Linked DNA regions of Rhinolophus ferrumequinum. The protein of the gene in region 2 purifies or fractionates together with the protein of the main gene of each other region. This does not show direct contact. Links are inferred from orthologs where the notes say so. Each region holds a gene or a part of one and is shown on either strand. Other genes may lie near its edges. The genes, in order: CETN2 and FBXL13.

Region 1 (14,911 bases), on a different chromosome or scaffold from region 2:
AAAGGAGGCATCGCTGAAAGAAACTAAACCACCTATGATCAAAATTGGACAATCTAAAAAACAAGCAAACAAACCAGCAACAACAACAACAAAAAACCCCCAAAGTGACATCTTCTTGCTTCTGATAGCTGACCCCTGGGCATTTATAAGACAACACAAACAAACACCAAAAACAAAACACCACCCACGCAACTGACAGCGTGCACTTCAAACATCAGAAAGAAGAAAGCACAGCGTCCATACTTGCAGGAGAGTCAGGCCCTTTTTCTCCCGACTCTAGGGGGCTGGGCTGGGTGACTTTGGGCTCGTCGCCTAACCCCTGCGGCCTCAGCTTATCCAAGACTGTTGCAGTCTGATGGGATGTCCTGGCGGGACTGCAATGGGGATGGGTGCTTTCCCTTCTCCGAGCTCTGAGGAGGCTGACGAATCTGGGAGAGCTCTGGTCTTTACATCTTAGCTTCTGCACCACTTTCTTGACCAAATGCCAACTGTGGTCACTGGGGATAATGGAAAACCAGAGCGCCACGGGCAGGCACTTAAATATTCTCACTCCAGGGAGTCAATGCAAAATTGCGACTGCTGCGTGCTGAATAAGCTGGCTACAAGTGTCCCCAAGCGAGGACCTCCTCCCTGGGGTCTTTCTAAAACCACATCTGGACTTCCTTAAGATGACAAACCCCCCTTTTTCCTAAGCTCAAGTATAGTGAATCAAAAGTGGGGTGTGGAAGCTAAAGATCTTAAAAGAATTCTGTTCCCGATGAAAACCAAACAAACGAACAACTCCCCTACTTATTCCTTAAATGCCTACACAATTGAGATATGCAGGAGACTGAAGGGGTACCAAAGCCTTCTACAGGTCCACCCCTGCCACCCTGCTGTCCCACCTGGGATGACATTTTTACTGGAGTCCACTGGACATCTGGAGATGGCTCTGTGCCTTTAGCATCATTTCCCTTGGTATGATTACATTTCTGAAGTGTTAGCATTCATTAAAAGTGGATCGAAAAATCTCTAGGAGGCCTGACAATCCCTTAAAGTCCCTTTAAATATTCCAGACGCTAGACCTTAGGAGGCCTTGGTACTGCCCTTGTGGCCCCTGAGGAAGGCTTCTACCATTCCACCCAGAAGCCCAATCTAGCCTGTCTAGGCCATATGAAGGCAAACTGAGGCACCCAGCTGACAGCGGCAGTTACTGCCGGGTGTGTGAGGCCACCTGGAACATACACATGCGGGGGTCCCCATGACTGCAGCTGTGAGAGTGAGCCCAGGGGAGACCAGCCACGGACCTCCCAGCTGGGCCCAGCTGAACAAAGAAATGGGTGTTGTTTTAAACCACTGTGTTCTGACATTGTTACACAGCAATAAGTAGAGACATAAATTTTATATAAAAAAACAATACTCAACATTAATTGATTTAATAAATGTACCGAGTATAATAAAAGAACATCTTTAGCATCGTAGCTTTTCCCATGGCACTCACCGCATATAGTTTTAACCCACAGCTAACTATCAGTGGCTTCCTGGTATGTATGTGCTCAATTTGCCCCTTACCTGGTTTTGGCTAACCTTTTTTGTGTCGGTACTTACTTTTGGAATGTCTTCTGTCAAATGTGTCGCTGTGACCTGGCCTCTCATTGGCTTGCCAACTGCTTGTTCCATTTCAGCTCCAAATATGGTCCTGTAGCGATCGAGCCTTCTCTTCTTAAAGACATATTTAGAGATAGATATTCATGTTGTAAAAAGCAAAACATGCTTTAGCTGTTAGTGTTTGCTGTGAATGCCAACCCCCTGTCGAGTTTTCACAGAGCTGAACTTTAGCTGTGGCCCTTGGATGGAGCCCTCAGCTACCATTTGTGTGACGCAGGCTGCTGTCTTAGAAAAGGCCAAAATTGGGCCCATATCTCACCGTGTACTTGGACTGGAGGCACAATGGGAGGCCAGTTAAATAACCTCAGTCATTAGTTACAACAAAAAGAACATCTTGGCATCGTAGCTTTCCCCATGGCACTCGCGTGCTTCAGTTGCTCTCGCTTTCTCTTGTGTTGATCAGTAGACTGCGGCAGTGCAGTGGGAAAATGCACAGACCTAGGGAGCCCTGGGGTCCAGTCCTGGCCGGATGACAAACTGTGTAAATCCGCTCAAGTTATGTCTCTTTGCTGCAGCTCAGTTTTCCCACCAATAAAATGAACTAGGTGCTCAATACCAAGATACCAGGGCCTGGGATACTGGGAGGGACAGAGTGTAACAGAAGATGGAGCTCTCCTTCTTGGTGAAATTAAAGCCATCCTGACCACGCATGGAAGAGCCCGGAGTGTCTGGGGCCATCGTAAACCTCGGGAGACATTCGTGAAGCCCACCAACTGACAAAGCCCCACAATGACACCCAACAGGAGAACAGTTTATCATGGATCCCCTAACATCTGGAGACAGCGAAATCCTTGACAAGGCAAACAGTCAAACTGCTCACAAAACACTAGATTCACAGAACACTCTTCGGTGAGGAGGGGGCAGGCAGGCAGCCAGCACTGGGGTCTCCAACACTCTGACTAATCCCGTCCGATTCCACACCTTGAGTGACACACACACGGTCATGGTCATGTGTCCCTGTAGGAACTGATTTTGTGGGTGGCTAAAATGACCTTGAAACAGATGTTAGGATCCTCAGTCTCTGATGGGGCCATTTTGGGAAAATATATTTCTGAAATCATAACGAAAATTACGTGGAAAATAGATTTCAAACACTTCACTTTTTATAGGCCTTTCCAGAATGTATAAGTTAACCAGCCGTTCTATGCCTATCCTATCCCTCTTTTTATCCCATAATCCTCTTTGTGTGGGCTGGGGGCCCTGTTACCCGTGCACCGTAAACAGATGTGGCTGGGGAGCTTTGACTCATTTGTCTCAACGTGTATCAGCTGGGGAACCAGCGTTTGGGCCCTTGCACCAAGGCCTAGCAGCGTGTTAGTTCCATCTTATTCACCATGGTATCTCAGCATGAAATGTCTGTTGTTTTAAGCCCGCAGTGTGTAGTCATTTGTTGCAGCAGCCCCAGGAGATCAACACAAGTATTCTCCATAGTCCCGAAATCCAAATAGCACAGCTACCAATTCCATAGCCCACCCAAAGCCTGTGCTCCCTCCATCTCTAGGGGCGGATCTGGGAGGTGAAAGAAGAAATCCGTCCTGCCCCCATGGATCCATACCATTCAAACAAGGCTCATGCAATTCTCAGCAAACCAGCCTCTTGTGAAAACCCAAACAAAAGCACATCTCTGTTGTCTCAAATTATATACAAATTAAAGTTTGTAAATACTATGAGCCAGGTAAGGATTTTGGTGATACTTTAGCTGTTTCTAGGAGCTGGGGTACCCAGGACTAGCCTGAGGAATGAGTCAGATCCTACTTGCAACCCCCCCCACACCTAAATTCCCATGTAATATACACTCAGGTTAAAATAAACACCAAGAATAGCTCTGAATGAATAGATGGACTTTTCTCCAGAAAAGATGGACTTTACAGATGGCCAGTGAGCACATGAAAAGATGCTCACGATCACTAATCATTAGAGAAATGAAAATCAAAACCACAGTGAGATACCACCTCACACCCACTGGGGTGGCTATTATCAGAAACCAGAAAATAACAAGTGTTGATGAGGATGTGGAGAAACTGGAACCTTTGTATACTGCCGGTGGGAATGTGAAATGGTGCAGCCGCTATGGGAAACAGTGTGGAGGTTCCTCAAAAAATTAAAAATTGAACTACCATATGATCCAGCAATTCCACTTCTGGGAATATACCCAACAGCATTGAAACCAGTTTCGTGAAGACGTCTGAGGACTCCTAAGCTCACTGCAGATTGTTCACGATGGCTAAGATGGAAACAACCTCAATATCATGGACAGATGATTGGATGGAGAAAACGTAGTGTATACATGCAGTGGCATCCTATTCAGCCATAAACAAGAAGGAAATTCTACAGTATGTGACAACATGGGTGAACTTTGAGGACATTGTGCTAAGTGAAAAAAGCCAGTCACAGAAAGATATTTACTGTATGATTTTACTTATATGAAGTACTATATATATACATATATGTATCTGTAACTTATATATTAGGTTGGTGTAAAAGTAATTGTGATTTTTGCAATTATTTTTAACCTTTTAAACCGCAATTACTTTTGCACCTACCTAATATTAAAAGAGTTAAAGTCATAGAGTCAAAGAATGCTGGTTACCAGGGCTTGGGCAAAGGGGAAATGGGGAGTTACTAATCAATAGGTGGAAAGTTTCAGTTATGCAAGATGAATAAGCTCTAGAGGTCTGCCGCACAACATTGTACCTGCAGACAGAAGGACTGTCTTGTACACTGATACATTTGTTAAAAGGGTAGGTCTCATGTTCATTGTTCTCACCACAACAAAATGCAATACAATGCAATACAATAAAAAGTTCAAAAAAGGACAAATTCTGATGCACGCCACAACACGGATGAACCTTAAGGACATGACGCTATGGGACACGAGAACCTTGGGAAGATTATGCTAAGTGGACAAGCCAGACACAAAAGAACAAATACTGTACAATGAGTACTCAAATTCACAGACAGAAAGCAGCATGGTGGGTGCCAGTGGCGGGGGGAATCGGGGAGTGACTGCTTAGTAGCTATAGAGTTTCAGTTCTACAAGATGAAAAGAGTTCCGGAGATGGACAGTGGTGATGGTCGCACAACACTGTGAATCAACTTAATGCCACTGAACTATACACTTGAAAATGGCTAAAATGGCCAATTTTCAGTTCTGTCTATTTTACCACGCATACACTTAGAAGAACAGCTCTGGATGGAAAAATAAGACCCCAAAGAGCAATGTTCTAAGGACTGGGCTTGTTAAGGTTCACAAATCAGAAGCCTGAAGTCTTTCTCCTTTAAGACGGTAGGTCTTGGAATCCATTAAAAACCAGTAATGCATGCCCTCTTACACACACTGGGACAAAGTCTTAGGCGGAAAGGAATCTAGGAAAAGAGAACCACCTTCCACTGGTGAAATCCGAATGCCTCGCTCAACTTCTGGGCAAAAAGAGGAGGGCCGCTAACAGAATTCGATGAAGAGAGGAGCGAGTGAACCCAATCTCCTCCTTCCTGCTGGGAAAAGTTCCACATTACTGAGTCCCGGAGACAAAAGGAAGGGATAGTCTGTCCATTTCAAACCAGAGAGAGAAAGACGAGTGTTCCCTCCTTGTCTTTCACAGACCTGAGGTATGTGCAGGTTTCTGTCTATCATTTGTCTCTCTGCTTGTCTATTCGCTTGTATGACAAGTGACTTTGAATTTGTGGTGGCCACGGAGAAACCCATCAGCATGACTGTGAGCTTTAGCGTATACTGTTCCCTCCCCTCTCTGTGGTAAGACCTTTCTCATCCTTCAAGGCCTAGCTCCACTGTCACCTCCGTAAAACCTCCCCCCTCCAGGAAAGCTTAGCTACTTCCTTAGCACCTGTGTCTGCTCCCATTCTAGCACATCGCACAGGATTATACTTTTTTCCCCCCATATCTGTCTTGGCCCACTAGGCTGTGAGCGTCTGGAGTGCCAGCAAAGAATCGGGAATGGAATCTGGGTTGAACTGTGCTGCTGCGGCTGGTCTAAGAGGCTTCATCTGTAGAGCAGTAATCTCTCCTGCCGTCCTCAGAGCTGCTGTGGGGCCCAAACAAGCCCCACGGGTTAGAGCGGAGATGCAGCTTGTGAAAGAGCCTCAGGGTATCAGCTCGCTCATTCCTACATTCCATCATTCACAGGGCACCACAAGCCGGACACCGCCAAGCAGAACCTGCGTTAACACAGGGAGCTCGCCACCTAGCGTGGGAGACACACCTAGCAGAGCACTGTAGAAGTGCCCCTGAGCTCTGCTGAGGATAAACCCAGGTCAGGGAGCCTGTCCCAGAAGGCGATCCCTGAACTGAGCTCTCAAGGCCCCAGAGGAGTGAGTTAAGCGGAGAGGGTGGGTGCCCGGAAAACATTCCATGGCCCGGGGTGGGAAGGATGAGGTGACAGAGCACAGAGCCAGCATGTCTGGCAACTACGACAAGCTGTGTCATGGCAAGTGTGAAGCAAGATTGGGAGCAAAGTTGGGGAACACGCAGGGCTGTTTGTCAGGTTAAGGAGTTACCCAAGGAGGAGATGGGGAGCCCCTGGAAGTTGTAAGCAGCGTGAGTGAAGAGATCAGAAATATCCCTCTGGCTGCAGTGTGAAGGGATTTTAGCCATGGCTAAGCCTCCAGCCTCCAGGTAGGTGGAATGACAAGAACAAATCAGAGAAGAGAACTGATATTGCCTGAAAACCTGCTGTCAGGCCCTTGTACATATGACCATATTATACCATTAAGATCCAAAAAGTATCTAGTTAGGGAGACAGTAGTGGTCTCATTCAATAGAGTCTCAGAGAGGTCAACCAACTTGCCCAAAGTCACACAGCTCCTATAGGCCAAGGTAGAACTTGTGGTGGTTCCTTCTCCTCTGCCATGCTGCCACCTGCAGTCTGACTGGGAAGTAGGGTGTGGAGGGACACGATGTTAGAAGGACTAACGGGCAAAACAGGGCAGGCGGCTCGGATGCCAGGCTGAGTCTGGACTTTACTCTGTAGTCATGGGAAGCCACCGAAGGTTTAAAAGCATGGGGTGACCTGGCCAGAGCTGTTCACTGGGAAGATTAACCTGGCAAAGCAGGGAAGACTAGACAGGTGAGAAGCAGGAAACGGGGGGACTACTCACCAGTCTTTCAATTGAGATTTACTGAGCACCTAATATGTGCCCATCACTGTTGCTGGTCCTGGAGTGCTAGCAGTGAACAAAACAAAGATGTCTGCCCTTACTGAGCTTACCTTCTACTGGATGGACAATAAAGAACATAGCAAATAAGTAAAATATACCATAGGTTAGAAGGTGATAAGCACTATGGGGGAAAAAGCAGAGCAAGGTGGGTGGGGGCCTTGGGTGTGCTGGGGGCTGCAGTGCTAAATAGGCTGCTTAGGATGGCTCACTGAGCAAGGACCTGGTGCAGGGAAAGAGGTGGACCAAGCAGGCAGAAAAGGCACAGCCGGCGCAGAAGTTCTAAGATAGGAGTCTGCCTGTGCATTTGAGGCCCAGCAAGGAAGCCAATGTCCCGGGGCTGGAGGAGCCAGGGGAGACGTGGGGGCATGTCATACCAGGCCTTGCAGACCAAGGGGAGAACTTGAGCTTGAACTAGTTGGGAGTGGAGCAACAGAGGTGGAAAAGAAAATAAATGGCAGATAAGGGGGAGAACTGATAGAACTTGGAGGCTGGTTAATGGGGGAGGGAACAGAAAAAGAAAGGATCAAATATAACCAAAAGGTTTGGGACCTGGTTCGTGCTCGAAGGGGAAGAGGGCAAAGGGCAGAAGATCGGTGAACATTTTCATTTAAGGAATGCTAATAAACCTCAGGCCTTTCTTGGCCTGAGAAACTTATGCTGTGTCCCCTGCCTGCCTAAATACTGCCCCACTGCCCAGAGGGGAAGCAGGTAAATGCTGAGAGCCACAGAGCGCTCTTAGGCGGGGCGGACCTGGGCCTGCAGCTCCACTGCCGCAGCTCCATTTCAGCCCAAACCCTTGCACACGCCCCCTTGTAATTCTCCAAGCATGCCTCACACTTCCAAAACTCCTCTGCTACTTTGCTCATGAAGGTATCTCGGCCTGGAATGCCCTTCCTTTTCCGCCTTTGACTGGATGTCAGAGCATTTTGATGACCTCTCCCCCTCATGCTCACTCGTATCTCCTTCACTCCCTTCAAAGTCTATTCACCTTCCTGGGCTGCTTTTAGCTAGGGGAGAACTCAAATGATCCTCTCTTGGAACGTGGTCTGGGGGGCGGATGCTCTCAAAGGGACACCCTCAAAGAGCCACAGCTGGATTCAGCTTCTAAGTTTCAGCTGTCCGGACCTGTGCCACAATGCTTGCCATGTCCCTTTCCTTTTTCTGGGTCTCAGTCGCTCTGTGAGTAGCCGGCGCTCACCACCGCGGACACACTCCGCCGCCCATTGTTGCTACAGCCGACGTACACACACAACTCAGAGCAGTTCCCACCGACCCGCGCGGGCCGCCGCGCTCTCCATAGGTGACCTGTAAAGTTATGATCTTCTCTGACTCCTCTGAGTCCCTCTGACTCTAACTCAGTCTTAGGCCAGAGCAGAAAGCCCCGACCCGGATCGCCCCACCCAGCCCCTTGCCCTCCCGCCCAGTTGCCTACATAAGGCGGCCTCCAGGGGCTCGGAGGCGACACTTACCTGTCCCTAGATGTCCCACTGACCGGCCTCAGCGCGCCCGCAGCCAGCACCCGCCAAGCTCCCGCAGCTCGCCGCCCTTTTCTCCCCGCCCGCCTGAGCTGATGATCGCCCGACGGTCCTCCACTACCCCGACTGGCTCGGCTTGGCGTTGGCTCAGCCAATCAACTCTCGCGGCGCGATCCAGCCCAATGAGGCCAGGGCTCGGCTGCCTGAGCGCGCTCCCCGCCCTGATCCGGGCCTTTGTCGGTGTACTCCCACCCCCTCCAGCCCTGCGCCAATGGTGAGCGGCGGCAGCGAGCGGGTCAGTGCGCGCGGGTCGGTGGGAATTGCGCCCAGGCTGTGTGTACGTCTGTTGCCGTAACAACGGGCGGAGCAGTCTGTCGGCGATGGTGAGTGCCAGCTGCCCTGTCGCGCCCCTTGCCCAGAGGCCGAGCCCTTCTGACCCCGCCACCTCTCCTGCACCGTTCTCGGCTTTGGTGCGCCCCTGCTTCTATGATGTGTTTCCCGGAAGGGCTGGGAAGAGATGCCAGCCACCCTGCTGGGCCTGTGATTCGCCACTGCCTCCCCTGCACCCACAGCCGGCCCCCACCCGCCCTTCGGGCTCCCCTGGCCTTCCCTGCCCCCTCGGTTACCGGTTCCTGGGTGAAGAAGACTCAGGTTCCCCGCAGGGTCTGACCCCTCTCAGACCGTGGTCTCCTGGCCGCCTTGTGCGACCAAAGTTTCCGCACAATGCCGGGGGCGGGGGGGGGGGAGGTTTACGACGTTGGATTGTTAACTTGCATTTTAAATTTTAAGTATCGGGCCATTTGGGAGACGCATTGAGCTTTTTGGGGAAAGCACAGATGAGCCAAGTGGATTGAATTTTATTATTCGATATTGACAGAATATGCATCTTAATAACTTAGTAATATTTGGCTAAATCTAGAAGTAGTCACAAAGTCAGAATACTTAGAGGGAAGCGGAGTACCGCGAGTGGGCATTGTAAGGACATTTCTAGAATTAGGATCCCCAAATTCAGGGAGAGTTTATTATCTGTCCAGTTATTCATACTCCGCTCCTTGGCTAGCTAGCTCTCTTTACGGATGATTTCAATAAGGGATGTCCTTGTTTCTAGAAACAATATAAAGAAGAGGAAAGGGATAGAGCTACATGGAAAGATTCTTTGTTTTGCCCAGTAAACCCTACTATCTCTCCAGTTAAGCAAAGCTTCAGGATTGGTTGGTATAAACTATTTTTAAAACAGATATGGTTGTCTCTAACGATTTTATGCAAAATATGGACTGTGGTACATAATATGGTGCTTATGTGTTTGTAAAATGTCTAAAGGCCTCGAACTTTAAGAAGGCAAACATGGCATCAACTACCCAGCGAAAAAGGATGAGTCCTAAGCCAGAGCTTACTGAAGAGCAGACACAGGAAATCCGGGAAGCTTTTGATCTCTTCGATGCTGACGGAACTGGGACTATAGATATTAAGGAACTTAAGGCAAGCCCTGTGCAATCCTACTCGCTGCCTTGCCTTTCCTCTGCCTCTTTGGCTTTTTTCCCTGTCACTGCTCTACCCCTTCTGCCCTCTTCTCCCTGCAAAAAGTAACAAGGGGAGAATGTGCTGTGCTCTGTTTTCCTGTCTTTACTTACCCCAAGTGTTATTAAGTAAAATGAGTGCAAATATCAATTTGCTTAATGCTCCAGTGTTTCCCAATTATTTTCATGTGATTGTGTCAGGTGCTGGCTTAATGCTCTCAACATTCATTTTTGCTCCTGCTCGGTTTCGATGAGCATATTGAGATGATCCTCTTTTCATTGTAGGTGGCAATGAGGGCCCTGGGCTTCGAACCCAAGAAAGAGGAGATCAAGAAAATGATAAGTGAAATTGATAAGGAAGGGACAGGAAAAATGAACTTTAGTAAGTTTCTGACTGTGATGACTCAGAAAATGGTAAGTTAGCTAAGAAAATCAGCATATTTCCCACCCATAATGGACAAATTTGAATCTCGATATGAAAATGTCTTCATTGAAGGAAAGTTAATACAAACTAGAGAGTTCAGCTGATAAAAGATAGTATTTGTGACTGAGAATTAAGATGTTTTTGGTTCTGCTTGGCTTTCTTGAGGGCCACAAAATCACAGGAAAAGTAATTTTACCCTCTGTAAAGTAGTGAACGTATACTGCTGTCACATTTTTGCTATTGTCTTTCCCCAACTGAATTGTCAATGTGATAACCACAAGCAGTAAAACCTATACACGCCAACAGCATTACAGTGTCTCGCATTTTGATAAGACAAAGTTCCTATATTTTAAAGTTTGAAATTCTTTTCTTTCCCATTTGTTATTCTGGGCAGCCTTAGCTTGAGGATGTGTAACTTCAGCAACCATGCTTTTAGGCTGCGCTGGGGATTTGATCTTTCAGCACTTCCAAGGTTAAGTTTACCCATTCTCTAGTGTCTCCGGTGTCCCTCTTTTAAAGGGTCCAAAGGGTCAAGACAGACTATAAGATGTCACCCCAGCAGCCCACCTCACTGCCCTGTCATCCCACCCAGGAAGTATGTTTCCATTGGGCCATTGCTCTTTCTTTGGCCTCCTGGCTCTTCCTCAGTGTGGCTCACCTGTGCTCCACTGGTCTGTCGAGACAGATACTGAGTAGTAACTCCATCAGTGTCTCAGGTGTGTTTCACAGGGCACAGATCGGTTCCTACTCTAATAACTCTGTTGCTTTGAAATCATCTAATTATACCTATATTTTTCTTCATGGACTAACTTAAGAGATCAGAAAGCTTAACATTCTGTCACTACCTAGTAAAGCTGTCCCACATTCAAGGGTGTTCCCGAATTGCTCTTATTAGGGGTTCTCTCTATCTTTAGCTACCTTTCAGGAATATTGGGAGTTTGAGCTTTTAGCGATTTTCCTCTCTTCCTCTGTTGGAGGACTTGGGATCCCAGTAACGCTATATGATCTCATCACAAGTAAAACAGCCTTCTCTTTGCTTCTTGACCCCTCCACCAAGAGGATCCCTCTTCCATCAGCTTAAGGAGTATATTCTCCCCGATGTGAACTCCACCTTCTTCTGTATTTTAAAAACGAATCCAGTTTCTCTTTGGTTTGTACAGAAAGAATGATGTTTGATCTCCTGTGACCTAGGACCTCTGTCATAAAGACCACCACCATGACCACGTAATGATGTAGGGGCAAGGCAGAGAGGCTAGGCGCTGTGGGGCTACAGGACTAGTCACTGCGGTGTTTCCCTACTCATATGTTTTATGTTCTACTTGTTAAGTCTGAGAAAGATACCAAAGAAGAAATCCTGAAAGCTTTCAAGCTCTTCGATGATGATGAAACTGGGACGATATCCTTCAAAAATCTAAAACGTGTAGCCAAGGAGTTGGGCGAGAACCTCACTGACGAGGAGCTGCAGGTTTGTAGTGTGTCTGACTGGAATGCAGAATCCCTTCTCGGAGCCCTGGGTGACTTTTCTGAGTTATACTCTCTTGGATGTGAGTGCCACCTTGAAGGAGAACTAGTGTTTTCTTGTCTTTGTGCTGACCATTTAATTTCTCTTCTGATGGTGTGACACTCCTTATGGACCCTGCTCCCAGAGAAATGCACACATGGACAGTTTTACTTATAAGTTTAGGTTTTAGGAATCCCCCTAGTGAAGATGACCTTTGGGCTCCGTTCTAGGTGATATGCGTGACAAACTATGACTTGGACTTCAGATCACTTTCAGGAACCACGCTATTACCAAAAGCAGCACATTTGCATGGGATGGACTACAGTTGTCTATTCATGTAGCATGATAAGAGCCTGTTGCTTAGTCATGTTTTCGTTTCATTTTGAATTGATCTGACCTGAGTCCTTATTGTCACGCAGGAAATGATTGACGAAGCGGATCGAGATGGAGACGGAGAAGTCAATGAACAAGAGTTTCTGCGCATCATGAAAAAGACCAGCCTTTATTAAGATTGTTCTCTCCTTTTCTATTGCAAGCACACATAACTAGATTTCGTGCCTGCCATTGTGTGAAACCTGGTTTTCGAGAATAAAAATTGTTTTCTTTCCCCACCGACCTCCCTGTGTAACCTTAGTAACAACCTCAAATCTCTTTTCGATTTTGGAAAGTGTTCTTTGACAGTGAAGTTCTTTGTGAGGTGGCCTGCTGGTCGCTTTAATTCCCCAAAGCAGAGCGCGAGCACATTACAGTGGAGAAAAGGGTCTTAATACTTTTGCCCACCCGCCGTTCTGCCTTGTATCTGTTCACTCTTGTCACACATTCCCATGTTTATGCCACCACAGAAGGACTTCTGAGACAAGCACGTGTTTTACCTGTGTCACCAGGCAGCCAGCATCTTTTCAATGGTTCCGGTTTTAACTGACACCTGAGTGCCGCTTTCTCTTTTACAAAACTCCAGTGAACTCTCTCACTTGCATTTGGAAGTGTGTGTGTGTGTGTGTGTGTGTGTGTGTGTGTGCTATTTGTTTTGTCTTAAAAATAAAGCCTTTCTTATTTTGAGTTTTTGTTCTCCAAGGATGAGTTCTTTAAACTTGACTATGAGTAGCTCTTCTAAACCATTGTGTTGAAGGCAGTCTGGTAAGTCCCAAACTCCTTACTCCCAACTCCTTTTCAGCCTGTGGGCAGAAAAGGAAATAACCCTTTGCTATTGGCATGAATTGGTTCTTGCCTTGGGAACCCGTTGGTGTGTAAAACTAGTAGAATTTCATTTCACGTAAGCCTAAAGGATGCCCTAAAAATAGTTTTGGCAAAGTATAAGACCAAAAAAGAGTTATTGGTAATTTATGCTTGGACAGATCAAGGAAAGCAAGGTTATGATGACAGTAGGTTGAATTCAGCCAAACTCTGCTCAGTGTCCTTGCTGGATGGTGTCTCAGAATCTTGGTGTCAGGTTGGGCTGAGTGGTCAGTTCCTGTGGGGCTGGACCAGAACGATGGAGGGGATAGGAGGGATGGGGACGGAATGGTAGGAGAGGTCAGTGCAGGTGCACATGATGCAGAGGGTGGGAGAGTGAGCAAAGGGTGATGGGGAGAGAGGGAAGCTCACGTGGGGCTGGACCAAGAGATGTAGGGGAGATGGGAGGACAGAGAAGTAGAACACGTTAGTTCCTGTGGGGCTAGGTCAGGGAGATGTAGGGGGCGTGGTTGGGGAGGGAGGGAAAGGAAGGGTAGGTTAGCTCAGGATGGTCTACAGAGGTGGAGGGGAATGGGCAGGGAGAGGGAACGGGACAGCCCTGTGGTTGTGCCAGAGAGATGTCGGGGGAGTAGAGTGGGGTGGGGGGCAGGTAGCAGAGATCAGTTCAATTAGGGATGGACCAGCAAGATATTGGGGACTGAGGTGGGACTGAGAAGTAGAGGGACTAAGGTCAGTTCACGTGGGCAGGAAAGTGATTAGAAGGAGGGGGAGGAAAAGGGGGCAAAGGTTAGTTCATGTGCAGATGAACCAGAGCTGTAGGGGCTGGGGGGTGATGGGGAGCAGGACGGAGCAGGTGTTACTCCATGTTCAGCCCCAGCAGAGAGTGTAGGGGGATCAGGGATAATGGGGAGGGAAAGGGCACAGAGGTCAGTGCATATCGGGCTGGACCAGAGAGGAGTGGGGAGTGGGTGTGGGATCTGACACAGAGCACCGACATCAGTTTATGTAAGGATGAACCAGAGAGCTCCGTGGGAGTTGGGGGGGCGGGGAGAGAAAGGGGGAGGAGAGGTACTTGCATGTGGGACTTGGCCAGAGATATGAAGGTGGAATCCATGGGGATGGGAGCAGAGGTCAGTTCCTGCAGGTGGGGCAGAGAAAGACAGAGGTGTGAGAGGGGTGGAGAGAGGGGGGGCAGATTCCGTGTTGGGTTGGGTATTGGGAAAAAGAGGGAGCCGAAGTTAGTTGATGTAAGATGGACCAGAGAGAGTCATAGGGAGGTGGCAGGGATGTAGATGGAGAGGGAGTGGAAGTGCCTTTCTATAAAGCTGGTGCACAGAGTTGTAGGGGATGAAGGGGTGGAGATGGAGAGGGAGCTGGCATCTTCAGTTCCTATGAGGATGCGCAGAGATGCCGGGAGATGGAGGGAATGCAGCTTTAGGGGAGAGAAGGTGGGAGGGATGCGGAGGGAGAAGAAGGCAGTTGCTGTTGGGCCTGTGGTCCTCCCCAGTAACTCAGGGAAGTCCTTGAAAGAACTCTCTGGTGGATTAGTCTTTTCTTTGCTCCAAAGTGTTTCAACTACTAGGAACAGCTGGATTCATTGGTAGCGATAATCAGGCTTGAAATAAGTCAATTCTAAGGAAGCTGTTTAAAGAACGGAAGTAGCTCAATTCTTGTCCCCTTTTAGACATGGAAGAACTGCTGGACCAGACTATTGACTGGATATTGAAGGGCGGGAATGCACATTGACTGTCCTAGGGGGCGCTATTGAGGTCCTTTCACTGTCAATCAGATTTTAAATTCTTGTTTTTGTCAAATTTTCAAATGCTAGGACTTGGGGCAGCACACTCAAAGGGAATAATACACTCCAAACAACTCTTTACTAGTTAGTGATTACAAGTCACAGCTCCATAGAAAACAGCCACTGGTCATCCCACTACACACTTAGTCCGTCTTCTGTTTGACTAGAACTGCTTGCTCT
Region 2 (15,078 bases):
ATTACAGGATCCTCCGTTGACTCAAGCAAGTAAAGGAGTTTCTGAAGTTGTTCAGCATTTAGGACATCATCATATGAACCATTGGTTAAGTCTTCTGCATGAGAAGAAAATTATTTAAAGTTCACCTAAAATCAATATGAGATTTAAAACATTTTAAAAACAGTATTGAATGCATACTCTGATATCAGGCACAGTGTTAAGCACTTTATATGCTTTATCTCAGTTAATCCTCAAGTAACCCTAGGAAGAAGATACTATTACGCTTCTCAATTTACATATGGGAACCTGAGACTTGCAGACGTTAAGGAATTAGTCACTTGGTATTTTCCTTTAGTAAGACACTGCATGCAAATAACATATACCCTATCGCCAACTGCATTTTCTGTTTCTTTTACAAATCAGGTACACCCATCCACTGAAACACTTGCCTACAGGAATAGGATTTACATTAAAAAAAGCTTTTCTGATCACAATTTTAAGAGCATCTCAGGCAGAGGAGAAGTTTTGGGAGTGTTTCAGGTGTGGCATTTCTGTCTGGTTTACATGAATAAAGCACTGATGACTGGAATGCTAGAGTAACAGTTTTGCTGGGGGTGATGACGAAAGAAAAGCTGTCATTTTGAGTAAAAAGCTAGCATAGTCAAATGCTGGGTCTGCTCAGTGACTTAGACTTTATACCTCTAACCTTAAAACAAATCCTCTTTACAGAAATCATCACAGGAAAAACAGAAACCATTTTTCTAACACTACTGTGTTATAAACATAGAACATGATTCCTTAAAAGTGAAACTATGATTATAGGTCAGACAACGCATGTGTTCACGTATATGGCTGGGGGCGTGGGGAGGGTGGAGGACAAGAGAAGGTTATACAATGATGTCACATCTGTACTTTTTCTTTTTAAAAATACATACCAAATTATTATAGGTGGCGATCTTTGGGTGCTGGCATAATAAACAACTTTTATTTTCTACCCTGTGTTAATGAGTACTTTCTGCAAGTTTCAAACAATAAACATGTATTATTGCTATAATTAAAATAATTATGAATATTGCTTAAAGAAGAATCACAAAATATCTGTGGGATAAGGATAGATTATGGGAACTGATAAGTGGTATGATGTGCTGAAGAAGTCAAATAAGAAATCAACCGTCAGGAAAATCTAAAATCTAAAGAGCCAGCAGATTCTCACTCCCAAGTCTTATAATCAGGATCTCTGGGCTCTGCTTTTACTCCTGAATCCACTACCTGCCTCATTTACATCTTATAAAACAGGGTTTCACCTAAAGAATACCTGAAAAGATAAGCCAAAGAATAACGAAGCACAGATTTTTAGAATAGAAAGAATGTTGCGGTTCATCCAAACCTCTCATTTTACACACCAGGGAACTGAAGCCAGGTTCATTTAAAGATCTGCCTAAAGTCACACAGGAATTGGTAGCAGAGACCACAGAAATGAAAATACAAAACTGGAGGCAAGTCACTTAACCTCTTTTTGGGTCTCAGGTTTCTCATTTGTAAAATAAAAGGGTTGGTCTAAGACAATAACTGTTCCAAAGGTTCCTATACAACTTTGAAGGTGTGTGATTTTCTACACAAACATATGGCAGAAATATGATTAAATTTAACTCATTCATACTTCTAAAACATTTCAAAATTTGATTACTTCCTAATACATTTTCCCACAAAACCCTCTAACATTTTTATAGATATGTAAATTATTTATAAATAGTCCAATAAAATTTTCTAAGGAAAAGTGTTTAATCATAGAATTTTCACTTGAAGGGAGGAAGTGCAACGTGTTTGTTGAAAGCCAAGGCTAAGGTGCCAGACTGTCTAGGTAGTTCTGATTCTAGATAAGCTACTTAACCCAAGCTGAGATTTAACCTCTCTAAGCCTGTTCCTTCATCTATTAAATGGGAGTTAATAGTGTCTGCTCAAAGGATTTTAATGCCTAGAATACTGTGAAGGCCTGGAATATTTTCATTATTTTTTTTATTAAGAGGACACACAGCTGGTTAATAACAAAACTGGCTCTAGAATCCAGATCTTTTCATTCCCAGTCTGTTACTCTTCCTCCTACGAGACCCCTGTTAATCTATTAAAGTGATGATCCTCATTTAAATTTTGTAAATAAATCTGAACTTCTCTGCTTGAATTTTTAATAAAAACCACGTTACTTTTTCAGATAAGAAATAAACCTAAAACTCTTCAACACTTTAGAGGATGGTGATCACCTGATACCTACCTTTTCCATTGGTAAAATTTTGAACTATTATACAAGTGAGGCAAACACGAGTGTCCGAGTTCTCCACTTAGCTTTGTACCAATAAGACTCTGAAAGAATTTTAAGCTCTGTGGTTCACCATCTCAAGTAAACAGAGGAGAAATTCCACTTCTCAAAGGAAATGAAAAGTGACTACCAAAGAATAACATTATAGCAAGACAAATTTCAAGATAATTGTCATAGTACAGAATCATTCCAACCAGGAACACAATATGCTTTCCTGTTTATGTAGCCTCATTCATGTTCTTCATTAAAATTATGTTCGTATAGGCTTCTTGCTAGATGTATTCAAGTTTTTATAGCTATCACGAATGAGATCTTTTCAGTTAAATTTATGCATTTGTTATTCCTTCCATACAAAAAGCTACTGATTTGGGTATATTTATCTTGCATTCGAGTTATTTATTAAACTCTTGTTGCTTCTAAAAGTTATTCAGTTGATTCTCTTGGATTTTTCCAAATAAATCATTATGTCATCTACTTATTATAATTTTGTCTCCTTTCCAATATTTATGCATTTTTTTTCTTGTGTTATCAAGCTAGCTATGACTTCAGGATAATGGTGAAGAGTAGCTGTCTCAGCAGGCACCCTTCTCTTGTTCTTGAATTTAGTAAAGATGCTATTAGTGTTTCACCATTAAATATAATGTTTGCTGTTTGGTTTTTGATGGATGCTCTTCATCAACTTAAAAACATTTCCTTTTATTTATTCCTAACTTGCTGCAAGTTTTTATCAGACATGATAACATTCAAATGTTGTTTTATTATGAAGTCATCGTGTTTTAGCTTTTAATCTAATAATGCAAAAAATTACATTAATATATTTCCCAACATAAATTCTCCTTACATGTCCATCTGGCCTTGGTATATTATTACTTGAATCCCATGATGGATTTGATTTGCTAATATTTTATTTAAGATTTTTATATCTTTATTTGTAATTGAGATAGATTTATAGTCTTTTTATGCTATCCTTGTCAGGTTTTGCTATTAGATTGGTGGATGAATTGCAACTGTTTCCATATTTTTTTAATGCTCTCAGTCTTAACAGTATAGGAATTACAAATTTCTTACACTTTAAGGCAAAGAAACGATCACCCAGTTCTGGTTCAAGGTGGTGATGTAGGAAGATAGTGAACTCACCTTCTCCCACAGACACATCGAATCTACAGCTACATAGGGGCGACTCCCTCTGAAATAAACCCAGAAACTGAGTAACTCCTACGGGGTTTTCCTGAAAATAAGCACCAGTTAAGATCTCAGCCAGACGGACGCATTCAGTATGTTATGACGATGTTCCAGAAGAAGATGACATGACTGTTTGAATAAATGCAGATCGTTGTACATGAAAAATAAGACATCCCCTGAAAATAAGCCCTGATGGACCAAAAATTAATATAAAACCCGGTCTTATGTTTGGGGAAACATGGTATGCATCGGGCAAATGAGAAAAAACCACACTGAAATAGGTGAAGAGGCTGAGACACAATCTCACCATAAACTCACCCTTGCTGCAGTGATCCACGATTGGGAAGAAATTCACAACTCACAGTTTCTCCCACAGGAGCGAAGGATTTGGATCCTACATCCTGTGCCCCAATTTTTAAGACTACCACCTGAGAAATGGGCCCCGAAAAATTCTAACTTTGAAAGCCAAAGAGGTGTGCGTCCACAAGACCCCCACGGCTATACAGCGAATTAAGGGACAGTTATTAATGGCTCCAGCAGACTCACTACGGCTAACACCCCAGGGCCCAGCAGAGGCAGTTCCCTGAAACCAGTTTTTCCCTGAAAGAGGTCTACTTGCTCATCTAAATAGCTGTGGCCTGAGGAGCTGGCTTCAATTTAACATACAATGGGAGCCCAAATGATTACAAGGAAGGAAATAAAGACTAGAGCAGAAATAAATGAAACAGACTCTTCTAAACTCATTTACAAAGCCAGCATTACCCTGATACCAAAATTAGACAAGGGAGCCATAAGAGAAGAAAATTATAGGCTAATATCCTTGATGACCATAAATGCAAAAATCTCAACAAAATATAGCAAACAATACATTGAAAGGATCATACACCATGATCAAGTGGGATTTATCCCTGAGATGCAAAGGTGGTTCAACATCCTCAAATCAATCAATGTGATACACCACAGTAACAAATGAAAGACAAAAATCATTTCATCATCTCACTAGATGCCAAAAAAGTAGTTGACAGTATTCGACATCCATTCATGTTAAAAAGTCTCAAGAAAGTGAGTAAAAAGGGAATGTGACTCAATGTAATCAAGTCCAGGTATGACAAGCCTATGTATCATACTCAATGGTGAAAAACCAAAAGTTTTTCTTCTAAGTTCATGAACAAGACAAAGATACCCACTCTTGCTATTTTCATTCAATATAGTACTGGAAGTCCTAGCCAGGGCAATTAGGCAAGAAAAAAAAAGCATCTAGATCAGAAAAAATGTTGCAGATAACATGATATTCTATACAGAAAATCCTAACGACTTCACCTAAAAAACTGTTAGGATACAAAATCAATATAAAAAACCAACTGAATTTCTATACATTAATAACAAATTATCAGAAAGAGAAATTGAGAAAACAATCCTACTGACAAATGCATCAAAAAGAAAACCTGGTAATAAATGTAATCAAGGAGGTGAAAGACTTGTACAGTGCAAACTATAAGACACTGATACAAGAAAATGAAGATGACACTAGTAAATGGAAAGATATTCTGTGCTCATAAATTGGAAGAATTAATATTATTAAAATATCCACATCACCAAAGCAATCTACAGATTCAATGTAATCCCTATCAAAATTTCAATGGCACTTTTTCATAGAAATAGAACAAACTATCCTAAAATTTGTATGGAACCACAAAAGACCCCAACTGCCAAATCAATCTTGACAAAGAAGAACAAAGCTGGAGACATCACACTTCCTGATTTCAAAGTAAACTACAAAGCTATAGAAATCAAAACAGTACGGTATTGGCATAAAACAGAGACAATAGATTAATGGAACAGAATTGAGAGCCCAGAAATAAACCTATACACATATGGTCAATTAATTTACAAAAAGGAGCCAAGAATATACAATGGGGAAAGGACAGTCTCTTCAATAAATGGTGCTGGGAAAATTAGCCACAGGCAAAAGAACAAAACTGGACCACTATCTTACACCATAAACAAAAATAAACTCATAATGGATTAAAGTCTTGAACATAAGACCTGAAGGCATATAACTCCTAGCAGAAATATAGGTGATAAGCTCCTTACATAGGTCTTGGCATGATATTTTGGATTTGACACAACAAAAGCAAAAATAAGTGGAACTATATCAACCTAAAAAATTTGAGAAAATATTTGAAAATCATGTATCTGATAAGGGGTTAATATTCAAAATACAGAAAAAATCCATGCAACTCAATAGCAAAAAGCCAAACAATCTGATTAAAAAGTGGGCAGAGGATCTGAACAGACATTTTCCCAAAGACATTAAGGTGGCCAACAGGTACATGAAACAGTGCTGAATATCAGCAAGCATCAGGGAAATGCAAATCAAAACCACAATGAGCTATTATCACCTCACACTTGTCAGAATATCTATCATCAACAAGACATGAGATAATGAGTGTTGGTGAGATGCAGAAAAAAGGGCGATCTTATGCACCATTGGTGGAATGTAAATTGGTGCAGGCGCTTCTGGAAAACTATGAAGATTCCTCACAAAATTAAAAATGGAACATATGATCCAGCAATTCTACTTCTGGGTGTTATCTGAGGAAAACAAAATCACTATCTCGAAAAGATATCTGCACTCCCGTGCTCATTATTTACAATAGCCAAGATAAGGAAACAATCTATGTCCATTGTTGGATGAATGTATCAAGTTTTATATATATATATATATATATATATCAGTCATAAAAAAGGATATCCTGCTATATGTGACATAACATGGATGGACCTTGAGGGAATAATGCTAAGTGAAATAAGCTAGACAGAGCAAGACAAATACTGTATGATTTCACTTATTCGTAGAATCTAAAAACAAACAAAAAAACCAAACTTCGATACAGAGAATAGATTTGATTGGTGGTGGTGGTGTTGTTATGGCTCCATGCATATAAAAAGGGTGAATGTGGTCAAAAGGTACAAGCTTCCAGTTATAAGTCTTGAGGATATAATGTGCAGCTTGGTCTGATTACAGTTAACAATATTGTATTATATAGTTGAAAGTTGCTAAGAGAGTATGTCTTAAAAATTCTAGGCACAAGAAAAAAACTATAACTGTGTGGTAATGGATGTCAATTAAACTTTTGTGGTGACCATTTTGCAATATATGCATACATTATGTTGTTTACCTAAAACTAAAGAATGTTATATTATGTCAATTACATCTCAATTAAAAGAAAGATCATCCTCTGAAATCCAAGAATGATGCTGACAAAATGGGTATTTATCAATCTTTTTCAAAAATGAAGGTGTAGCTTCAAGAAGAAGGGACTGTGAGCAACTTCATTCATTGTAGGCTGCCTGAATACCTAAGATATTTTGGTGATATGAGAAACTGGTAAAATTAAAAGTAAGATTTTTGTCAGTCGTCGTCAGTATAACTGAGAAGGTACCTGAGTCCAGGCCATCTGACCACTTACTTATACAGAAACATCTCTGACATAAAGACAACAAATTAGGCTTTGTAAGTGAGGGTAAATGCAAATCTTTAAAAAAAAAAAAAAAAGGATTTTTCCCTTGTGCGAAAGGGAAAGACCCTCCCCCCCACTCCCTTAGAGCATTTCCTCGAGGAAACTTGTAATTGTAATTCCTTTGTCTATCTCTTTGATATAAACATACATCTTTGTAAAACTTAAGTAAGCCTCTTGGCAGTTTGCAATCCAAGAAAGTCTTTCTTAGGGGCTTTGGGATCATTTGTTTGAAATATCAAGGAAGAAGCAGCTATTTCCTTGTCTCTGAATTTAGACTTGGCACCTGGCTCCATGTTATAAACACCTGTTTATCATAGAGATACTGAGAAGTCTTATTTTCCCTCTGGATAAAGGCAATTAGCTAACATAAACAGACACCCCAACTACCAGATGAACTATGTGTAGCAAATGCTGCTGTCAAGTTCTCTTAAGGACAAACTGTTTATCTCGAGAACATGTAGGTAATATGAAATAGGTTACATCTGTCTGGGTACCTAAAGGGGTGAGAACCCTTTCTGTCTTTGCAATCCCGTTTAGCAGACTGCCGGTGATGGGTGTAGCAACCAGGTTTAATGCTTAGTCCATAATAAAGCTACTTAGTTCTTTTGTACATCTGTAGAGAGGAGCTTCTTTGTTGGCAGGAGGTTTTATTTTTATTTCCCTAACAGCTTCCATGACCTGAAATATCCATCCAGAACATTCAACAAATTGTTTGAATCCTGAATGCACCAATCAACTTCTGGACAGAAACCTAATCCTGTACTTACTTGTCCGCCAGGAGGTGTTCCCTATGCAGACAACTGTTCCATTTTGAAATAGCTATTATCTACATCTATCTCCAGTATCTCTCTGCAATTTTGTATATATATGCACCGTGGTGACTTGAAGGTATCCTCCCCTCTCAGAGGCTGGGCTGAGTCCAGGCAGAACTGCCCCTTTGGCGTCCTTTCTTCCAGGGTAACTGCACATAGCATTTCATCTACTGCTCCAGGCCTCGCAACACCCCGTCCACAGCCGGGGAATCCCTCTGGTAACACAAAGGCCGGGAGCAAGCTTTAACGTGAGAGGCAATCATCCGCTTTTGCGAAACCTAATCCTCAGCTGTGACGCCGGACTCAGGTAGGAAAGTCTGACCAATAGTCTTATGCCAGGATTTTGAACAAAGAACTGGAAGCAGGGAAGCGGCTCAGAATCCTACACCCACCCAATCAAGTGGACAATCTGCCCACTATACCTGGACCTCCCTTCCTCCGCGGGCTCAGCTCCTTCTTTCACTCAGAGCACAGGCAAGCCACGAGCGCCTGCGGCGTCTCCAACCCCCACTCCTGTCCCCCCTCACCTGCCGGGCACCCCGTGGCCTCACCTGCAGATTGCGATGGACGCAGCCGAAGCCCGTGGCCGCCTCGCCGCTGGCCCCGCATCAGCCTGTAAATGCAGTAGCAGGCACCGGCCCCGAGGACCAGGCCCGCCGCCACCCAGCCCGCGTGCCGGGCGCCGCCCATGCTGCCGCTGGAGCCTGTGCGCAGCGTGGGGCCTGGAGCAGGAGGCTCGTGTGGGCCCGTGCAGGGGTCTCCGAGGCCAGCGGGAACAGCCGCCGCCCGAGCTGGATGGAGCCCGCCAGCCCCAGGAGAAAGGAAATGGGAGTCTGAGCTCCGCCTCCCGGAAACGGCCCTGCTGAAATTGTAAAACCGCCCACTCTGGCCCCGACGCGTCTGGGCAGCTCCCCCCCGGTGGGGCGAGGGGCTTGTAGAAGGGAGCTACACACACACCGCGCGCCCCGAGGGGCCACACCGGGACTGAACGGCCCGGAGGCGGGCTTCCCCGCACTTCCAAGCCCATTCCGCCGGGGCCGTAGGGCCGCCATCCTTCACGCCGCCCCGGCGTGCGGGCGCTCGGCTCCTCAGCAGGCCCGCCCCTCCCGCCCCTTCCGCCCCGCCCCGGGGTTGCTGGGGCAACGCCGGGACGCGCCAGCCGGGAGTCCCCGCGGCGCTCTGGCTGAGCCAGGAGTGGAGAGCAGGCCCGCAGCGCAGTTAAAGTGGGGCCTCTTGCCATGGCCTCGCTACGCAGTGCCAGCGCCAAGCTGAGAAACTACTTCAGGGAGAACTACATTCCTCAGGTCTGCGAGGTACTGGAGCCACTTGGCGGCAGACCTAGGAGACGGAGGAATCGGAAGGGATTTCCCAGAGGAGGGGCTAAGGTTTGGCGGGGAGGGAGGGAGTGGAGGGAAGGACGAGCGGAGTAAGACAATATGATGTCAGCCTGGGACAAGTAGGCAGTCTGGGCTGAAGATAGAGGTCCGAGAGGAGAAAACAGAGGGTGGCGGTGGCTGAAAGGGGTGGGGTGGGGTGGTGGTGACATCTTCCAGGCAGAAAGAGCACATGGCCCTGGAGAAGAAACCCTAAACTCCAGCTTTAAGGTTTGGACCAAAAGAGCCTGGGAAGAGGAACCTGAGGACTAGAGGAGTGGAAAGGAGTGCCCTAGAGAGAGAGAGAGAGAGAGGAGAGGGAAATCAGGAGAGTGTGGCTTTATGAAGAGAGTGGGCGACAGTGTCACCTAAGATAAGGACCTGATGGGATGTAATGGATTGGCCCAAGGTGAGCCTGGGGTTCCAATGGAACAAGGAAAGCAGAAGACAGGTTGAGGTTGGCTGAGGAGAGAGAGGAAGCTGAGACCTTTAGAGGGAAGGTAGCCAGCCAGCCCTTTGTGAAGGGAAAGACTCCCTGACTAGTATTGCCTTAAACGGGGAAGGACTGCCCCTTCCCCCCTTAATTATAACAGGAGGAAGGAGGACAAGATAGGGGTGGACAGATTTTGTAGGTTTGGGGGTAGGAAGCCAAGAAAGGTCTCCTCTGGTGACTTCTATTTTCTCTACAAATATTTGGTGAGATATTTGCCAAGAATGTGTATGTTTGGGTGGGGATGGGGTGTGCAGAGGGGTTTTGAGTAGAGAGAAGTTATGTGGAGAATGAGGGAGAGAGAATTTTAGGGAAGGACAAAGGAGAGCCTCCCTGGGGTAGCAACTCTCCTCTGCAGTTGGGAGGCCAATTTGGTACAGCTCGCCTCCTTTTGGGACGGTAATGTTGAAGTATTTATTAAAATGTTAAATACATCTACCCTGTGACCGAGCATTTCCACTTCTAGGGATCCACTTTGGAGATATACTTGCATATGTGCTCCGAAGGATATTCATTATAACTGTTCCATAGTGAGAATGGTAAACAACCTAAATGTGAATAAGAGAATGAGATATTATGTAGAATTAAGTATATCTGTACCTTTTGAGAAGAAAAGCTCTTTAAGACACATTCAGTTAAAAAAAGAAAAAGATAAAAAGGCAAGTTGCCCAACAAAGTATCTACTACAATCTGGCTACCTATCTGATTTCACATATGTATGTATATGCATGTATATATATGTGTGTGTTGATATGTATATGTATGTGTATGTACGTATAACTATCTATATTTAAGAAAATACATGCATAGAGCATATGCCAAACTATTAACAGCAAATGTTTTGGGGAAGGTTTTAGAGGAGAACCCTAATTTTTTACTCTGTATACATCTGTATTGTTTTAATATTTTGTGATGAGTTTCACTTATGTTTTACCTCTATATATTTGATAATATGTAGAGAGCATGGTACTCATCTTCCCAATTTGTGATTTTCTCAAGTAGCACTGAGTAATAAACCACATGTAGGTACAGAAATAAGAGTTGACTTCATCCAAGATAGTTTTCCAGGCGTATAGAATGGAAGGCAATGGTGAGGGAGCTACGCTTTTGAGAGTGCCTGACGTGTTAGGCCAAGGATTCTAAGGACCGCGTGGGAAATGAGAACAAGACATGGTCCTGATATATGGGTAGACAGTGGACATTCCTAAGGGGTGAGTGAAGGGGACGAGGGAGTAATTGAGTGAGGGAACTGGAAAAGTAGGCGGTAGGGGTCAAAAAGTGGAATGTTTTTGTGTTTAAGATTCAGGATAGAGCATTCTGAATAACGACTCAGTCCAGGTTGGCCATGGAGCAGGTCGCAGAAGTGGACTTGGGTTGAGGGTCAGGGAACACCAGGGAAGTGATAGCTTCTTCTCACTTTGCTCTCCACTTGCTATGACACTACAAAGCTGCCAGGGGCATCCCTGGTTCTTCTTCTGAAGGCGAGCACTTCCTCACCAGCCTCACAGCCTGTATTGCTCTGCCCCTAGAGAAAAGAGGCCCTCAGAAGTACTCCCCATTGCCTAAGATAATAAGCTCTTGAGGAACTCTTCACCTACATTGCCAGCCAGTGCAAGAGAGCAGTCCTTACACACTCACCTTCACCTGGTTACTCGCTTCCCCTAAGAGACTATCAGGAAGAATCCCACTGTGCCTCATACCCCCGTACATCTGTTCAACTGACCCAATTTGCCAGGCCTCACACTCTTCTAAAACCCATCTTCTGCAAGTTTTGAAATACATAATCTTTCATCACAGATTTTCCTGTACAGTTAACCTCTTTTGAACTTTACCTACCTGTCCTAAATAAAAGCTGATTGTCTACTTAGAATGTCATTTCCCTGCAAACCTCCTAAATAGAGGCTGATTTAAAAAAAATCTTGCTCTATTCACTGGGCTTACCTAGTCTGTTGATTGATATTTTCCATCAGTTTTAGAAAATCCTCAGTCATTTTCAAATATTGCTTCTACCCAGTTTCTCTTTCTTCTTCTGGGACTCCAATCATAAATACATTAGCTTTTTTTAAAACTTTGTCCTATATGCCCTTTTTGTTCTGTCCTGTTTTTTTTTCACTCTGTGCTCAAGTTTGGGTATTTTTTATTGATTGTCTTCAAGTTTATTGATTCTGTTTTATACTTTGTCCAGTCTACTGTTAAATACATCAGATGAGTTCTTAATTTCAGACAGTGTATTTTTCAGTTCTAGAATGTCCATTTGATTTTTTTATACATTCCAATTAAAATTCTGAATTCTTTTTATCCATTTTGTCTATCATTTCCTGTTTTCTTTAACATGTTAATTCTTGTTCTTTTAAAATTATTGTCTGTTAACACGATTATTTTGAATTAAATTCTTTACTAGAATTTAATCACTAGAATAGAATAAGTGTTCTTTATTAAAATTACTGGTGTGATTTCTGCCTCCTGACTGATATGGAAGGCTTAACTGGAAAGGGAAACAAGCAAACTTTCTGAGGAGTTGGAAAATGACGGGGATATGGGTGATAGAATTATATAGCTAAGATTTGTGCATTTGAATTTTTGTAAATTTTACCTAAAAAATTACAGTTGAGAACAGGTGGGAAATGGGTCAATATATAGTTAATATAAGAATCACAGATTGGTGATAATTGTTGAAACTAGGTGATGGGTGTATAGGGGTTCATTATACTATTGTTTATTTTATGTATGCTTGAAGTTTTCCATAATAAGTTAAAGTAAAAGACAGGCATAGCTGGGTGTTTTGGTTTTTTCCCCCCTCATTAAAAAAATGAATATAGTTTGGGATGGGTGGAATGACAGGCTTTATTTGGCTGTATAGTCGTTCTCTGTTTGCTTGTTGTATCAATTATTCATGGCTGTGCAACACAACAGCAAAACTTACTGGCTTAAAACAACAGGAATCATTTAGTTTGCTCAAAAATCTGAAATTCTGGCAAGGTCTTTCAAGGATAGCTTGTCTCTGCTCCGTATGGTACCATCTGGGATGGATCAACGGGGTTAAAGATCCCCGTTTGAGATGGTTCACTCACATGCTTGGCAAGTTGGTGCTGACTGTTGGCTGAGAGCTCAGCTAGGCCTGTGAACCAGGAGGCTTGGTGCCTCCATGTGGGCCTCTCTGTGGGCTGCTGGGACCTCCTAACAGTAGGGTGGCTCAGCTCTAAGGGCAAGTGTCCCCAGAGAGAACTAAGTAGAAGTTACATCACCATTTATGACCTAGGCTCAGAAGTCTACATAACATTGTTTTCACCTAGATTCAAGAGGAGGGAACATAGACCCCACTTCTTCTTCTTCTCCTCCGCCTCCTCCTCCTCCTCCTCCTCCTTCTTTATCTTTTAGCTTCGTTTGAGGTATACAAAACAATGTAATAGACATTTACACCTCTCACAAAGTGATAACCCCTCTCCCCCAATCTACTACCCCTCTGACATCATATATAGCTATTTCAATTCCATTGACTCTATTCCCTATGCTGTACTCCACATCCCGTGACTATATATATTTAATTATAGTTGACATTCGTTATTATTCAGTTAAAGCTTCAGGTGTACAGCACAGTGTAGACCCCACTTCTTGATAAGAGGTATATCAAAGTCACATTGCAAAAGGCGCCTGTGGGATGGGAGAAATTGTCATGGCCATTTTGGAAAATACAATCAGTCACACCTGGCTTGTTCATACACTGGGAATCTGGGATCACCTTGTATCTCCGGGCATTATATGAAGAGATAAGGTGCGGATCACAACAGTATCACCCAGTAAGTGACTCTTAACCCTACTGTAATTAACTCTTCTTAACTTTTCCTTTTCTATGTTCCCCAGGAGCAGATGCATACCGGACATTAACAAGTTCCTTACACAATATCTACTTCCCCCCTTTCCTCTTCTGAGTATTTCTTATACTTTTATTCCATAACCGACCTCTTCTCCTCACATCCCATGTGCTCCAGGAAAATCGACTATCGGTATCTCTGAGGTTGGACCCTGGTTAGCTTATGACAACCAGTGCATTCAATTTCCCAGGCCACAGTGTTTGTGGACATGGTGGGTGGTGGTGAGGATTGTGGGGGAAGGCAAGATAAGCTCTAAGCCAGTTTAGATCAGGTTGCTCGTTGGAATGTTGGGATGAGATATATCATCTCTGGATGTTCCTGGGGAAGCATGTACCCCTGGGAGCCACTGGCAGTTATCTTGTGTCCACAAGGAGAGATGGTTTTAGGTTGAAGTGGATTCTGAGAAAGGCAGAATGGGGAAATGGAAAGAAATCACGTCTCTAGTGATATAAGTAAGTGACTGGGTTAAACCCACCTGAAAGCTTGATCTACCTTTGGAAGTTTTAGTTGTAGCAGCCAATAAATTCCATGTGGAGTTGAGGTTTATTACTTGAAACCTAAAGCATCTGAAGCAATACAATGGGATTATTTTATTGTGAGATTGCCCGGGTTTGAGTCTTTGCTTGCCAATTATTAATTGTGTGATGTTGAGCAAGTTTCTAAATCTCTCTGTTTCTTGTAGTAAGATTCCAACTGGATGAGAGCCAGGCCTTTATTTTCTAGAGTGAGAGAAAGAGATTGTGAAAGGGAAAAACAGGAAAAGAAAATCACAAAATGTATCCTCAGGCAAATCAATTTTAGGATAGAATAATAGGGAAGGTGAGGACCTGGAAATGGATTCCTTTATACTATTCATATTCACACATCGGTTGGAAAGCCCTTGTGGATTCCTAGCGGTTTGCACACCCAGCTTAAAGAGGGCTGGATTATAGGTTCAATTTTTTGGCACCAGCCAGCCTTTTTTTCTTGGGGTATGGAAAGAACGGTCAAATAAGGAGGGTACATTAGACCATTCCATCAGCAAATACTTGCTGGTCATCCACCATCTGCTAGAGGAAAACATCTCAGCAGCTGTGACTCCAAAGATATCTCCAGTCCAAACGTTTCTCCCGAGTTCTCTGTGCATTTATTCATTGGTGTCCTACAAATATATTAAAGAAGTAAAAAGAAATAGGTGAAATTCATTTTAATAATATATTTTATTCAAACCAATTATCAAAAATAGAATCATTTCAACATGAACTCAGTACACGAGGTGTGATCAAACAATGTGGTGAATGTTTAAATTAAAAAAAAATTTTATAGTGAAAGACATATTGCCATTAATCTCCCTCAAAATACTCCCCCTCACTTTGAACACACTTATCTCATCATTCTTGCCACTTTCTGAAGCAGTTCAGAAAGTCCTTTTTTGTGAGTGTCTTTAGTTGCACTGTTGTGGCTGCCTTGATGTCCTGAATCATTCTGAGTTTGGGGAAGAGCCAGAAGTTGCATGGTGCCAGATCCAGTGAAGATGGATGAGGACACACCAT

What was found.
Region 1: the proteins of FBXL13 (region 2) and CETN2 purify together in Homo sapiens (affinity purification with mass spectrometry; 3 studies listed by BioGRID and IntAct, counting the BioPlex papers as one, with this or other methods). This does not show direct contact. The link is inferred for Rhinolophus ferrumequinum from reciprocal best matches to the Homo sapiens genes FBXL13 and CETN2.

What each region holds. Positions count from the first base shown.
Region 1 is NC_046284.1:7,304,322-7,319,232, forward strand, and holds CETN2 (centrin-2), read left to right. Parts: upstream 1-8,540; 5' UTR 8,541-8,677; coding exon 8,678-8,680; intron 8,681-9,410; exon of another isoform or gene 9,411-9,508; intron 9,509-9,617; coding exon 9,618-9,776; intron 9,777-10,099; coding exon 10,100-10,228; intron 10,229-11,565; coding exon 11,566-11,703; intron 11,704-12,158; coding exon 12,159-12,248; 3' UTR 12,249-12,347; downstream 12,348-14,911. Other genes in the region: NSDHL (sterol-4-alpha-carboxylate 3-dehydrogenase, decarboxylating), read right to left, coding at 1,588-1,659. UniProt on the Homo sapiens protein: Plays a fundamental role in microtubule organizing center structure and function. Required for centriole duplication and correct spindle formation. Has a role in regulating cytokinesis and genome stability via cooperation with CALM1 and CCP110.
Region 2 is NC_046303.1:46,930,897-46,945,974, reverse strand, and holds the start of FBXL13 (dynein regulatory complex subunit 6), read left to right. Parts: upstream 1-8,758; 5' UTR 8,759-9,049; coding exon 9,050-9,124; intron 9,125-15,078. Other genes in the region: ARMC10 (armadillo repeat-containing protein 10), read right to left, coding at 1-94, 8,363-8,501. UniProt on the Homo sapiens protein: Substrate-recognition component of the SCF (SKP1-CUL1-F-box protein)-type E3 ubiquitin ligase complex.